Caenorhabditis elegans: one gene and its partners. The protein of the gene in region 1 interacts with the protein of each later gene in a pairwise test. Each region holds a gene or a part of one and is shown on either strand. Other genes may lie near its edges. The genes, in order: F46H5.3, tap-1 and lrx-1.

Region 1 (4,705 bases):
TTTTCTTTCAGGGCCAGAGCAGACACCTCACACGCTGAAAAAATGCTGAAGGACAGCGAGAAGCGTGTCTGGGAGATCAACGAAGAGAAGAGCAAGCTGGAGTGGCGTCTCGGTGAGCTCTCCCAATGGTGGAACGATGCAAAGTGGAAGGTCGGCGAGTTGGAATCCTCTGTTGCCCTACAGAGAAATTTGCTTGACACGGCAAACTCGAAGATTCAAAGCCTTAATGATCAGTGAGTTTTCTTTGGAGTTGGGGTCAGAGCAATACGAGATTGAATGTTTCATGAATTTAAAATATCAAAAACGGCGCTTGTAAATCATTTCATTACATAAAAATAAAAACGAAAAATTGCATGAACATCTTTGATCACTTTCTAGAATTACCCAAAAAAGGACTTTATAAAAATCAAAAACTGAATAAATTTTCAAAATAACAGATAGGAAACTTTAAAGAATTTTTTCATATTTCATTTTTAGGTTAATACAGGAAGTGAGGTAAGGAATACAGATTTTATTGAACTACTTGTAACTTAACGTCTGGAAAGCAATGCACTTTATATTTTTTTTTCTGAAATTTGCGGAGTAGTTGAATTGAAAACAATACTAACTATGTTTTGTTTTTCTTATTTAATTTTTAAAAATTGAAACGAGTGTACAGTGTATTTGACGGTGTGAATATAGTGTTCCTCATCCAAAGCAATATTTCATTCGAAATCGAAATTCCAATAATTTAGGAGTCACTCCAGCACCATGACCATTCCCACCGACGGATTCACCATTAGCCAAAGCAACCAAGGAACTTGGAACCTTGCCAAGTAAGTTATACCAGTGGTTCTCTTGATATCACTATTCCAAGTATTTGCAGCGGAAGTAACCAGCCATGTTTCACCGGAGCCATCCCATCCATCCCACTTGTCTCAGCCCTGCCATTCGCCGGAGCCAATCCATTCATTTTTGGGGGAGCTAACGAAGGAAGAAATGTAACGTTGACCATTTCGAACACAGAGCAGGAAGTTTACTTGACGGTAAGTTTTTTTTTGCCAAATAGGTCTTCATTTGATTTTTCAGGGAAGTTTTATCAACTGGAAATGCACATTGAAATGCGAGAAACTGGTTAGCGGCAAGAAAGGAGTCACGGTCAATTTGACGCGTGGAAGGTAACAACATTCAAATTCAAAACACAAATTTCAAGTAATAATTTTAGACACGAGTTCCGATTCATGATCAATGGCGAATGGGCGACGTCGAGCGACTATCAACAGGTGCCAAACGGTTTGGGCGGACAGAATAACATTATTTTTGTCGAATAATAATTATTCCCTTGATCACTTAAATTGAATTATTTTTTCTTACCTGTCAACTTTGTTTCCATTTACTTCTCCTCATTTTTTGTATCTTTATTTCTTGTTTGTATTACATACCACTCCATTCAAACTTATGCAGTTAACCACTCTATTCACTAGATTGTGTTTAGAAAATTGTGAAGATTCTGAATTTTTTCGGGACTTTTGGCATTGCCATGATGTGAATGAATATTTTCGGTTAATATTAATTCAGATTTCAAATAACTTTTGTTCAATATGTAAAGTTTTTTTACTTAATTTTTAATAATTGGTTGTTTTTTCTCAATTTTCCGAATTAAATTTTTCAATAGAAGATGTTACATCGATGCTCGAGAGTATTGTCACAATTTTTGGTAGGTACTTTGCAGTGGTTTTGTTTCACGTTGACAACTACCCTCAATACATAATATGGCGTTTTATGAAAAAATTATAAAGAAGTTAACATATACTTTCGGGCACAATTTTTGCAGTACTCTAACTATGTACTTGATTGAAATCTCAGCAATCAAGTAAGGAGCAAATAATTCAATTAATAAGTTCCATCCTCTTTTATTTAAAATAGTGTTTTTGCGCATTAATTGATTAACTTTAGAAAAAAATCAACAAACAAACAAATTTGGAAAATGTAAAAGTTTGTTGAAGATCTAATTTTTTCCAAGATAAATTAATTAATTTACAGAAAAGTTTTTTGTCCTATATCTTTTATTTAAATGTTTTTTTTTTCAAAAAGTTAAAATCAAAATATTCAAAAATATTATGAAAATGTGCTATTCAAACTGACGTCCTACACGTTTTCAAAAATTTCAAACTTTAAAACACATTTCCATATTCACCACTAGAAAAATATATATTTTTTTAAAGTAATCAGGTGTTAGTACTTGGAGTCTAAAATTTGCAAAATTGAAAGACTTGAGATAAAAATGAAAATGACGAATAATTGAGAATGTGCAAGAAATATTTTAATTAAAGGCTTCGCATGTGTGCTGAGTGTTTTCAATGTGTTCCATCTTTGTGTGTGGCTTATTTTTCAACAAATTTTTTTTCGACATTTGTTTTTTTTTCGCAGAAAAATAATATGAAAGTTTTGCATTAAAAAATGTGTTGATCAAAAATCTTTTCAAAAGGTAAAAAGGCAACTTTATTTTTGTCTGATATATAACATTTTGAAACACCTGCAAATGAAAACGCAGTCAAATTCCCATTGCACAATGTCTATTCGATTGCTGACAAAAATATACTTTCAGTATTCAAATTAACGTTAATGGCTCTTTTTGTTTGTTTACACTCCCAAAAAAACATTGTGTTCGTTCGAACCAACTGTAATAGGTATGAGCCTATTTCAATAATTATATTTTTGTTTAATTCCAGCAACAATAGTTTTTTATTTGGTGACACGATACATAATTTGTTTGTTAATCTGGTATTTTTGGAGTTTATTCCAATTTTGATTTCGCGCAATCAATGCAGTGAAATAAACTTTGTAAAATAGAAAAAAAGACTCTGGAAAGCTTGGTGATTATGTTCATAGCTAAAAATATCACAAGTAGGTTGATGTTTATGTCTAGATTGAGAATTAAATTATCTTGATAAAATCCACCATTTTTTAAAAACATTTTTCTCAACTTGAATATTGTCTAAATTATAAATTTTTAGTTAAATGTTCTATTTTTCTACTTTTCAATATAATTTGTAAAAATGTATTTTCCAAATTCTCTTGTTTTAGAAAATCCCCAAATCATTCAATTTTCAAATAACTCGGAAAAACTCAAAGTTTTATTACGCGGAGATCAACCTTCCTTCTATCTTCCTGTCTTCTCATGTAACTTCTTATCCCGTATCCCTTTTTATCACTTTTTCTGACTGTTTTCTACTGGCTCATCACAACGTTGCGTGAGCCTTTGGCCGATAGAGGTTAACTGTGTAAAGCATGTTCGGCAACTTCGGGAAAGATGGATGCCGATGAGAGCAGGAACAGATGGCATTCGACGGCAATGAAATAGCAGATGGCGGTATGAGAGTCTTTTGAACCTCATCCTCGTCGGCTACCACTTTCTTTCTTTTCACAACATTTTTTTGCCATACTCTCCGATGGCCGGAAAACAATTGTTGTGTAATATCCAGCGTTTGCGTGAGCCACCGAGTCTTGTGTCAATTCGAGTAGAGGAAAAAAGTGAAGAGAAATAAATTACCCATGTGTCAATTGTCGTTGGTCAAAGAACTAGACTGAAGAAACAAGAAAACGACCCAGAACCAGGAAATAACACGAGAAATGATGAACCTGTTATTTAGAGGAAGAAGAACCGTTCGAAATTGTTGCTCAAAGAGACAAAAAATAGTCTGAAAATGGTGCATTCCATTATGAGACTTTTCAAAAATCTCTCGGACACATTGTTGCAGTCTAAAAGTAACGTGGGTGAACGCAGAAAAAATCTTCAATTTTTCCATATGGATGTGTCGGCTGGATAAAAAGCAGGGCTACATGTAGATATGCATAACAAGTGAAGTCTAACAAGTTGTTTTTGGCGATAAATGCTGAATCGCAAGCCACTCACAAACTAATTATTTTATGGAAGTACAGAAAAAAAATTATTCAATGCCACGAGATTTGAGAAGAAATCAAAATTTTAAAAATTGGACTTTTGCACACCTTTCAATTTTTTGTGTGTTTTTTTTTAAGTGGAAAATCTAACGAGTAACTGAAAGTAAATATCTTTTCGAACAATTGAAATGAGAAAGTGTATAAGTATTGAAAAATCTTTTTTTTTAACTTTGATTACTTTTGCTTCTCGAGTTAATAATGGGTAAATTTACAGATTTGTCATAACATACAACTTGTGCTTGTTTCAAGCAAAATGTTTGAAACTTAATAATTTTTGGCAATCGAACCAATCGAGAATTACCTTTTTCAGTTTTGCACACCCCACTTTAATAGTATTTTTTCACCTCGGCACATCTTGAAATTGTAGTAATAATAATTCAGTACAGAAATAAAAGAAAAAGGTTAAGTTTGTTGTGAATTATACATTTTTACATAGGACACAAAAGAAATAAAATCCCCCGAAGATTAATAATGGTGCGTTTATTAATAGAGGTTATAATGTTTTTTTTCAACAGCGCATAACTGTGTGTGTGTTTCAATTTTTTTTTTAATTTTGTAGCGAGGCAATTGAAAATATTTATTCAGATAGTATTATTTTCCAAAATGAAAGGATGAAACCGTGGGGAGGAGGCGTGAAAATAGATAATCCTTGTTGTGATTAGTGGCACATTCAAATATATTCGATAAGCCGTATTTGGGACAATGGTTGCCAAGACGACGAATACCTGAATTTTATCCAAATCTGAACGAATATTTGGCAGTG
Region 2 (4,677 bases), 7.4 Mb from region 1:
TTTTATTTTAAGCCTATTTTAACAATTTGAATATCAGATGTTTTTTTGAAAATTTTAAAAATCCAACTATGTATTTTTCCTGAATATTTTTTTTCTAATCACATTTTTTAAGATTCATCTTTGATGAGATATTTTTAGATTTATAATTATTCAAATTGATTCTAGAAATGTTTCTTTTTAAAAATTCACCTGCTTAAACATCAATGTTCTATTTGTCTCCGAGCACGTAATTCTAGTCTGACGCAAGTCTTTCACTTGAGCCCATCCTGGACTTCTGCTCTCCACTGACAATCGTTGAAGCTGAAAAATTTCATTAATTAAAACATTTTCCGGCTGAGCAAACACAAACCATAAATGAGCCTCCGAATACGTCGGAATCAAAGTTAATTTCTACAGAACTTATATACAAAGACATGTTTTCGATGATTTTGTTCATGAAGCCGTATGAACTGCTGTCACCGAGATTTCTGCAAAAACGTGAAGGGTTTAATTTCGAAAATGGTAGAACTATGCTTACCCAAGTGGATTTGATTTTGCCTGTTTTTTATGCTCATTGGTAAGCTCCACATCCACATTGATTTCATCAATGAACTGAAATTATTTTTACGATTATAAAAGCATGAATTTGAATGAAAAAGGAGTTTATGTGAGACTATGACACTTTTCAAAATATTTATAACTTTTTTTTTACAAAATAGAAAACGTTATCAAAAATGCAACATTTGGCAGATTTAATTTGTCTGATATAATTATTCAAAATACGAGAATAAATTTGTCTACTTCAATTTCTAATTCAAAAAAAAGAAAACAACCTACAATCTGAATTGGGCAAGTTTTCAATTTGGTCCATGGTACATTCACAGCTACACCTGTACAGAATGCTCGTTTGATTTTCAACCACGAAGGAAGCTCCTGAAATTTTGAGTTTATGCAAGGAAAGCATGTACATTTAAAACTCACCAAAATCTCTGTCAAAACATCTTCGTTAATTTCAATAAACTGAAGTTTACTATTTCCTTTTAACACGTCTAAGGATATCTGCTCGGGCTTCAAGTTTTTTGTGAATCTGAAAAAAAGTGAATTTTTTGAGGGTGCAAACTTGATTAAATTCCATAGTAAAACTTTTCAAAAAAAATTTGAAATTTTATACTTATTGTCACAAGTAGCAATTACCAAGATATTTTTGGTTTTTTTAAGCGATTTGGAGCATATTTTGGCAAAATTCCCAGTGGCGTTACAAAAATTTTAACATCCATTTTATCAACTAAACAAGGAGGGTATTATTTGAGAAAAAATATGTTTGACGTTGTCATCGATTTTTAATATTTTTCAATACACTCAAAAATTAACTTACTTGGATAAATGTTTGACTAGCTGGTTTTTGATTATTGACGTCATCTTCGGTGTACAATTCTGCAAAAAAAATCGATTTTCAGGTGCGAACTACAAAAAACTACATAAATACACAGAAAATCATCAATAGAACATATTGAATCAAAAACAATGTGCTCATTATTTATGCGAAAATGCATTAATTGTCCAAATTGCGACTATCGGTTTTTGCCAATGGAGCGCGTTTGGCACACGCGGCGGTGTATGCTTGGGAGGGTGCGTGCGCGCGTCGGCATGCCAATTCTCTCAACGTGTTTGTGCTTGGCTAGCCATTGCTGCTTTTTGATAAGAATAGAAACGCGTTTTGGCGTGAGAAAAAAGACCGGATATAGATTTTGAAGATTAGAATTAGAATTTTTCCCTTTTTTTAAATTGTATTTCAATATAAAAATATAATTTGATTAGAATTTTTTGTTGTTGCTCATTGAACGTTTATATAATAAAAAAGAAAGTAGAAGTAGTCAATCAACAAATTTGTTTATCGTTTGTATTAATCGTTTTCTCTGTCATTATTTCTCTAACTCATCGTGAATTTGATTGTAGATAAGCAGGAGAGCAGTCGCAGAGCACAGGCAAAATGGGGGACGACGGGTTCCTCGATCAATACCCTGCCAACACCGATGCGGGCATTGGCACTGTGCACAGCTGCCGCTACTCAAAACAAAAAAATCCGGTGCAGAACAACGATTTTTTATCGTGCTCCATGTGCATACAGTGAGTTTATTCTACTTTTTTTGTTGCAAAATGAAACATAAACCGATCTTAATTAGGAAAAAAGTCAAATTTTACAGCAATTCAGTGGAAAATAAACTGAACGATTACGTGGGAAAATGCAATTTTTACACTTTCCTTGTCTAGTAACACAATGAACAAAAAATGAAAAGAGAAAGTTTTGGAACGATACATTGAAGGTGTTAAATACAATTTGTTTGCAAGGAAGTAAATGTCACAAGTACATCAATTAAAAAATAAAACTATATTTATCGTAATTTTTTGTTAAAACATGAAAGATCATGTAGACACAGATTAGTAGATTACATTAATAGTAAAAGTTAACAAATTTTCATTTTTCAGCAATGGACCCATCAAACTCTACGGTATTTTTTCCGGATTTAATGGTGGCGATTCAACAGCGAAGTTTGTCATGAACAGATTGGTATATGAGATTTTTGGAGAAAATCCAATTACACCAACACTACTCCCTTATCAAGTGATTTAACAATCAAATTTTCAACTCTACAACTACATTTTCAGGTGGTGGAAGAATTTAAACGGAAATTTGAAAACGTTGCCGAGCGTTATTTGTTGATGAACACCGATGATTTGAACAATCGACTGTTAAAGTTGGAGGAACAGTCGGAAACTGGAAATAATGCAGTATCGGAAATCAATCAAAAAGTTAGACTAAATTTTGAAATTATTATAATCTCCCAAATTTTCAGATTCGCCAAGGTACCACTGCCATAGTAGTCATGATCATTAACCAGGACCTATATGTGCTAAATTGCGGAAACTCTCTGTAAGATTTTTGAAACTGTTTGTTAGGAATTTTTGAAAAAAAAAAACTTTCAGCGCAATTGCTATGAACAGTGAGAACGTAGTGCAGCTCAACTCAAATCTACACAATAATGACAATCCTTTGGAGATTGTACGAATAAAAGGGCTAGGGATTAATCCGGAGGTAATTAATTTTTTTTGTAATAATTTTACAAAATAAGTTTACAGACAGTTCTGAATCCAACTAGAGCGATCGGTGACTTACAACGAACCCACCTGTTTGAAGAGACGGAAGCTTTCAAGAATGCAAAAGGACCACCGGTTATTTCTACTCCAGATGTTCAGTATACAAAGGTTTGCTATGATGAAATGTTGTTCTGGAACATTTTACGAAAAACAAGATAAAAGATCAAATTCAATGAAAATATTAGTCACAACACCTCAGATTTGATTACAAAATGAGAACATGTTTTCTTTTCTTTTTTTAAATGCTTATTTTCCAACCAACAGGTAACTTCTACTTTTAGATCGACCCATCCTGGAGACATTTGGTTCTGATCTCCGACGGTGTAGTTCAGAATCTTAAGGAAGTTGAAGTTGAAAACATCCCAACGTAAGTAGCAAACTTATGGAACTTTTTCGTCAATAACCAAGTCACACGTTTATAAAAATAAAAAATAAAATTTTCATCGATTCCCCAGTTTTCAGAGAAGTATCCGTTCGACTAATTGAAGATCACACAGTTACAAGTACAGCGCAGGCATTGGTAGACTCGTTTGCAAGAAAGCATCGCGATGCTTACACGGTTTGTTGGATTTACCCTTTTTTAGATAAGCAAATTTGAATACAATTTACAAAATTTTACCTATTTCTTCTCAATTCAATTAAATTTGTTCAAACATTGGGCGGATGTATTTTGCTATTCCACATTGCCATATTATTTTTATTTTATTTTCAGATGAGCGACGATAAAAATTTCTGTATCAGTAATCACAGAGAGGAAATGACTGTGATTTATGTGAAGCTCGAGGAAGATTACCAAGCGGCTCTTTACGAACAATTCGATTCAGCGATTTCGACAATGGAATCTACAAATGCAACATTGTATGAGCCCTGCTCGACACCATATGTCGATGCTACCAACTTCAATTCTGGAAAAAATTATGAAAAGATGAAGAAACTACTTCTAACTCGACCTTCAAAATAAATATTGTTGCTAGTAAATATAAATATTTGTTATCATGTATTATGTGTTATTTTTGCGGGGAGTATGATTATGATGCTTTCATTACAAATGTAACGTTATATGTGCCTATGTGGTGCCATGTGCCAGGATGTCCCATCACGGATTGATCTAGAAAAATAGCGGGATTTTTTCGCCCAAAAAAAATGCGACGTCAGCGCGTTCTTAACCATACGAAATCAGTGGAGAACTCTGCGTCCCCTTCTCCCGCATTTTTTGTATTATTGATCTACGTAGATCAAACCAAAATGAGTAACTCTGACACCACTTGTGTGCCCTGTTCGACACCTTACGTGGAAGCTACCAATCTCAACTCTGGGAACAATTTTGAAAAGATCAAGAAACATTTTTCAAGTCGACCGTCAAAATAATTTCTATTGTTGCTACTACATAGATCTAAACTTTTCTTTTCCTATTTCTTTGTTTTATTTTGAAAAAAAAATCTCTGACGAGAGATGCGGGGGAGGAGTTGCTTGAGCTGGTGTGAGATCAAATTTCTTGAATTTCACATCAACGCTTTTGTCCTGATTTTGAGACTAGATTTT
Region 3 (5,069 bases), on another chromosome or scaffold:
CAGTGAAAAGAGTTAATACGAAGAGACGGTTCTAGAATGGTATTGAAGAATCTCAATAGTACAAATAATATTTTACGGTCTCAAAATTGATTCGCTCACCTTTTAATTATGTTTTATGCTTTGTCAGATCATTCCCGAGTTTCCAAATGTTGTTACCTCATGTTTTATATTTTACGAGATGAACCCGATGCATCGGCCGATGTGAAATGAAAAATATTTTCTAACTGTTTCAATATTCTAATGCGTTTTTTGCTACGCTTTTGTTTCTTTCTTCTTGTTAAAAGCTAACCTTATTCATAAAAAATTTCGATTCAAGATCAGAATGTCTGACGATGAGGATGACTACATGTCTGCTGAAATTCTCCAAGGAGTTAGTGAACAACCAGTTGGAATTGCAAAATCTAGAGCTCACAAGCGAGAACTACAAATAAATTCAAGATTTGAAGAGTCCAGAGACACGTTTAAACCAAAAAGGCCAACTAGTCATGCTGAGCGAGGTTTGTAAATCGTAGTATATTATTTTTGTAGTTTACCAAATAAATTTCAGAAAAAGAACGTCGCGACGAGGCGCTCGCAAAACCGATTAGCCACGAATCGAAAGGATTTGCATTGATGGCAAAAATGGGATTCAAACCTGGTATGACATTGGGAAAGCAAAGAGAAGACGAAATTCGAATTACGGAACCAATTGGTGTCGATATCAAGGCTAATAGGAAGGGACTTGGGCACGAGGTTGAAGCAGTTCAAGAACGCAATGAACGAGTTGAGGCTGTAATGCAAAAAATGAAAGAACAAGCGGCAAAGCATGAAGAGCTGATCGATGACTATTCCAAACGGCGGAAGCTTGATGCCAACTCAAAGCAATTAGTCAAAGACATCAGATCTTGTCGAAAGGTGTGCGAAGAGTTGGATCATCGAATTGGAAAAAAAGTTCCCAGTGTTTCGTGGTTTTGGAGAAGTTATAAAGTTGCTCAAGAGGAAACTACATCTTACCATAAAAAAGTTGAAAAAGAAGATGAAGAATATAAGTACTCAAATGGTTTAGCAGCTCCAGAAGATCCGAATTATGATTTCACAATGTCAACGGAAATTTTAGAAGAAGCGTAAGTTTTTGTTTTGTAGATAAGGTTTCAATGAGCGTTATTTATCCAAACCGACAATAGTATTAAATATGCGTTTATTTCAGACTTTCCACTATCAACAATTATCTTCGAGATGGTCACTTCTATTGTATTTGGTGCGGAGCCAACTTTTCCTCGCCAGAAGATATGATCGAACATTGTCCTGGGAGCACTCGTCGAGCACATCATGGAGAAGATGAATAGATTAATTATTTTCATAAAATCTCAATTCTTGATGTATATACTATGAATCCTTTTTTATAACCAAGTTCGTGTCCTAACATCGTGTCACTTTTTTTTTTTGCTTTTTTGCTTCATTATTGTCTGCTCCTGTGTTGTTTCTCAAGGTGGGAACGTATCAAGTGACAAGTGACCACTAGTCAGTCAGCTTGAAGTGGCGATCAGTTGCCGCGCACCACCAGTAGCCCCCAACAGCGCGAAAAGCTTCTTTAGCGATAGAAAAGAACACAAACAATTGAAAAAGAAGAAAGTCCAGTGCACACACGACACTTGTGCTTCTTCAGCTACAGTCTTCAGTGGGCAGCAACATCAAGTTCCACCATCTTTATCATCTGCTCATCCATTCTCTCGATCTGTTCCGGTAAATTTGATTGCCAATCATTTTGCAAATCATGGCATGGTTAACGTCCATATTTTTCATTCTTCTAGCCGTTCAACCGGTTCTTCCACAGGATCTATATGGCACAGCAACTCAGCAGGTACAGTGAACTGTTCAAAAATTTGTAGCATTTGTTCTTATTTCTCTTTCTCAAAGTTTCTAATGCTTAGGGTCTCACCACGACCAAGATATTGTTCAAATGAAGGGCTCGCCAAGGGATTTGCACCTATAAGGAGTACTGTAGTTCAAGTTCAAGTTTTTTTTTCAATTTTTCCTCGTTCGTTCCGATTTTAATGCTTTATTTCTAACTATTTGTTTCGTATTTACATATAAATCGGTATGAGCTACAAGGAAAATATTTATGTAAAATCGAAAAAATTGTGAAATGAGTCGCACTACAGTACTATTTAAAATCACCGTATTTAAAATATTTCTGTCGTATCGAGACCTAATTTTGACAAAAAATCGCACAAAAAATCATTATGGTTTTAGGCAACATAAAGATTCCAATTGGATTCACAGACGATTTAAAAACTTAATTTTGAAAAAAATCAAAACAATCGTTTTTCTTTAGTGAATTGTATAAATATTTTCCAGCAGCCTTATCCATATGTACAACCTAGTGCTTCGTCTGGTTCTGGAGGCTACGTTCCAAATCCTCAATCAAGCATTCATACTGTTCAGCAGCCATATCCAAATATTGTAAGTTATAAAGGCTTGGGCCAGGGCCGAGGATAGGTCTATATTTGTTTACATTACCAGAATATCAAGAAACAATATTTAGGATGTAGTCGAACCAGATGTGGATAGTGTAGACATTTATGAAACTGAAGAACCTCAATTTAAAGTTGTGAACCCTGTATTTCCACTTGGTGGATCTGGAATCGTTGAACCTGGTACAATCCCACCACCAATGCCTCAAACTCAAGCTCCAGAAAAACCAGACAACAGCTATGCAATTAACTATTGTGATAAACGAGAATTCCCAGATGATGTACTAGCACAATATGGATTAGAAAGGATTGATTATTTTGTATACAACACTTCATGCTCTCATGTTTTCTTCCAGGTAATTTTTTGGAAATTATTTTTCTGAAATACAGAAATAGTTGAACAAATGTATAATTTAAAGTATTGAAACTTATCTTTATTGTATGCACGAAATAAGCTATTTTTATTTGTATGCTATCAATATTTATATTTCTACAGTCAATAGATTTCTGAAATTCCGAACTTCTTTCATATTTTCAGTGTTCAATTGGCCAGACTTTTCCTCTGGCGTGTATGTCCGAAGATCAAGCATTTGATAAGTCTACTGAAAATTGTAATCACAAGAATGCTATTAAATTCTGTCCAGAATACGATCATGTCATGCACTGTAGTAAGTCATTCAATTAAGAGTATGTATAAAATTTCATATGGCGTTGATGCACCATGAGGTGCGCTTGAAAGTTTGTAAATCTGCAATTTTCTGATTTTGATTTTATGGAAACTTAATTATTTCATCGATTTTTTCTCGAAATCTATAAAATATATTTATTTACAAAAAGCTCCAATATAAAATAGTGTTTGATATTGCAGCAATCAAAGACACCTGTACTGAAAATGAGTTTGCTTGTTGTGCAATGCCTCAATCCTGTATCCATGTGAGCAAACGTTGTGATGGTCACCCAGACTGTGCCGATGGGGAAGATGAGAACAATTGTCGTAAGTTACTCATTACAACAATTGCCAATTAAATTGAAAACCTTTAGCATCGTGTGCACGTGATGAGTTTGCATGTGTGAAGAGTGAACATTGTATTCCTGCAAACAAAAGATGTGACGGTGTGGCTGATGATTGTGAAGATGGATCGAATCTTGATGAAATTGGATGCAGTAAAAATACAAGTAATTTTTACTTTTTAAAATGTACTTTATAACAAAGTAATTAAAGCTTGTATTGGAAAGTTCGTCTGTGGAACATCGCGTGGAGGTGTTTCATGTGTGGATTTAGATATGCATTGTGATGGAAAGAAAGATTGTTTAAATGGAGAAGATGAAATGAATTGTAGTAAGTTTTTTTCTGCCTCCCTTCTTCTCACCCGGAAAACACCTCTGGAAAGTTATAAGTGGCGAAATAATGTACAGTACTTCCTCTAATAATATCGCATCCTACTATTTCACTTTAAAAGGTTATACCTCGGTTCAATTTAAAGATATTGAACATATTTTTCAATAAATAATTGACTGCAAACGATAGAAAAAAGTTTTCAAAAAATTGTCAAATGACAATTTTTAAATAGGAGAAAAGACAACTGAGATATTTAATTGTCAAAGTCTAACATTGGGAGTGCAACATTAATAGAAATACATACAATTTGGAATGTCTTTCTTAACTATAACCACACATTTTGGCACAACTTCAATGTGCGAACTTTTTCTTGTTCGAGACAAAAACATAGGAAAAAAAGTATTTTTAGCCAAGTGTCCAAATAAACACTGACGAATACTACACTTGTTATTTCAGAACAAGAAGGACGCCAAAAATATTTGCTCTGCGAGAATCAAAAACAATCAGTGACACGTCTACAATGGTGTAATGGAGAAACAGATTGTGCTGATGGATCTGATGAAAAATATTGTTACTAGATACTGCTGAACTTCTTGTCGATTTCCCTTAATTTATAAATAAATACATGAATGTCATTGCTTCTTGAAATATTCTTTCAAATTATTTGACAAAACGATTAGTTTCGCTTTGAAAATTTGACGGAAAAGAGGTCGAAAAGGGTGGGGACTGGTTATTTTTCAAGGTTTACTGTTTCTCTTTTTCTCTTCTTTTTGTTACTCTTACCCCTTTTCAACTTTGACACCGAAAGTCAACCAGTGTTAGACTCATGAGTATTTCCGTATATTCTGTTACTATTTTCACACTTTTGACATTACTTCCGTTAATATGTATATCACTGGAGTGCATCAACTCAACATCATACATGGACAGAGTTCTCGTCAAACCAATGAGCTCACATTGTCGTTTGAATAATGCACTTTGTGTGAAGACAATGCAAATTAGTCAGAATTCTGGTATGCACATATTTTTTGAAGTTGGAACTTTTAATATTGATCATTTCGTATTGACCGTCTCCGACTCAATATTTTTTGTTCCAACATTGATTAACTACCATTAACTGTCATTAAGTTCTGGTCCAAAAAATTGAATCAGAAGTTGGCAGAAGTTTGAACAAAGTTGAGCTAAAATTTTTAAAATTTTTGGCGCGCTCAAAACCAAATATTTCTTAAGTTTTACCAAAGTCTTGCCAATTTTTGAACAAATTATATAATTGGTCC

Evidence for each region.
Region 2: the proteins of F46H5.3 (region 1) and tap-1 interact in a two-hybrid assay, tested with the Caenorhabditis elegans proteins (one large-scale study listed by BioGRID).
Region 3: the proteins of F46H5.3 (region 1) and lrx-1 interact in a two-hybrid assay, tested with the Caenorhabditis elegans proteins (one large-scale study listed by BioGRID).

The regions. Positions count from the first base shown.
Region 1 is NC_003284.9:7,235,615-7,240,319, reverse strand, and holds the start of F46H5.3 (putative arginine kinase F46H5.3), read left to right. Parts: upstream 1-1,657; coding exon 1,658-1,696; intron 1,697-3,274; exon of another isoform or gene 3,275-3,418; intron 3,419-4,705. Other genes in the region: F46H5.7 (AMPK1_CBM domain-containing protein), read left to right, coding at 12-233, 478-495, 735-815, 866-1,025, 1,069-1,157, 1,205-1,310.
Region 2 is NC_003284.9:14,587,689-14,592,365, forward strand, and holds tap-1 (TGF-beta-activated kinase 1 and MAP3K7-binding protein 1), read left to right. Parts: upstream 1-1,935; 5' UTR 1,936-1,969; coding exon 1,970-2,106; intron 2,107-2,466; coding exon 2,467-2,602; intron 2,603-2,646; coding exon 2,647-2,790; intron 2,791-2,834; coding exon 2,835-2,911; intron 2,912-2,964; coding exon 2,965-3,073; intron 3,074-3,117; coding exon 3,118-3,243; intron 3,244-3,416; coding exon 3,417-3,502; intron 3,503-3,597; coding exon 3,598-3,694; intron 3,695-3,847; coding exon 3,848-4,096; 3' UTR 4,097-4,133; downstream 4,134-4,677. Other genes in the region: bltp-3B (Chorein N-terminal domain-containing protein), read right to left, coding at 190-300, 350-467, 518-591, 817-912, 961-1,066, 1,355-1,398. UniProt on the Caenorhabditis elegans protein: Involved in the Wnt signaling pathway by regulating mom-4 kinase activity.
Region 3 is NC_003283.11:12,251,025-12,256,093, forward strand, and holds lrx-1 (LRP X(cross)-hybridizing), read left to right. Parts: upstream 1-1,660; 5' UTR 1,661-1,753; coding exon 1,754-1,840; intron 1,841-2,337; coding exon 2,338-2,442; intron 2,443-2,524; coding exon 2,525-2,809; intron 2,810-2,991; coding exon 2,992-3,121; intron 3,122-3,321; coding exon 3,322-3,447; intron 3,448-3,494; coding exon 3,495-3,629; intron 3,630-3,675; coding exon 3,676-3,792; intron 3,793-4,248; coding exon 4,249-4,370; 3' UTR 4,371-4,426; downstream 4,427-5,069. Other genes in the region: rad-50 (Zinc-hook domain-containing protein), read left to right, coding at 1-35; T04H1.5 (G patch domain-containing protein 11), read left to right, coding at 323-497, 548-1,103, 1,187-1,325; T04H1.12 (Activin_recp domain-containing protein), read left to right, coding at 4,619-4,805.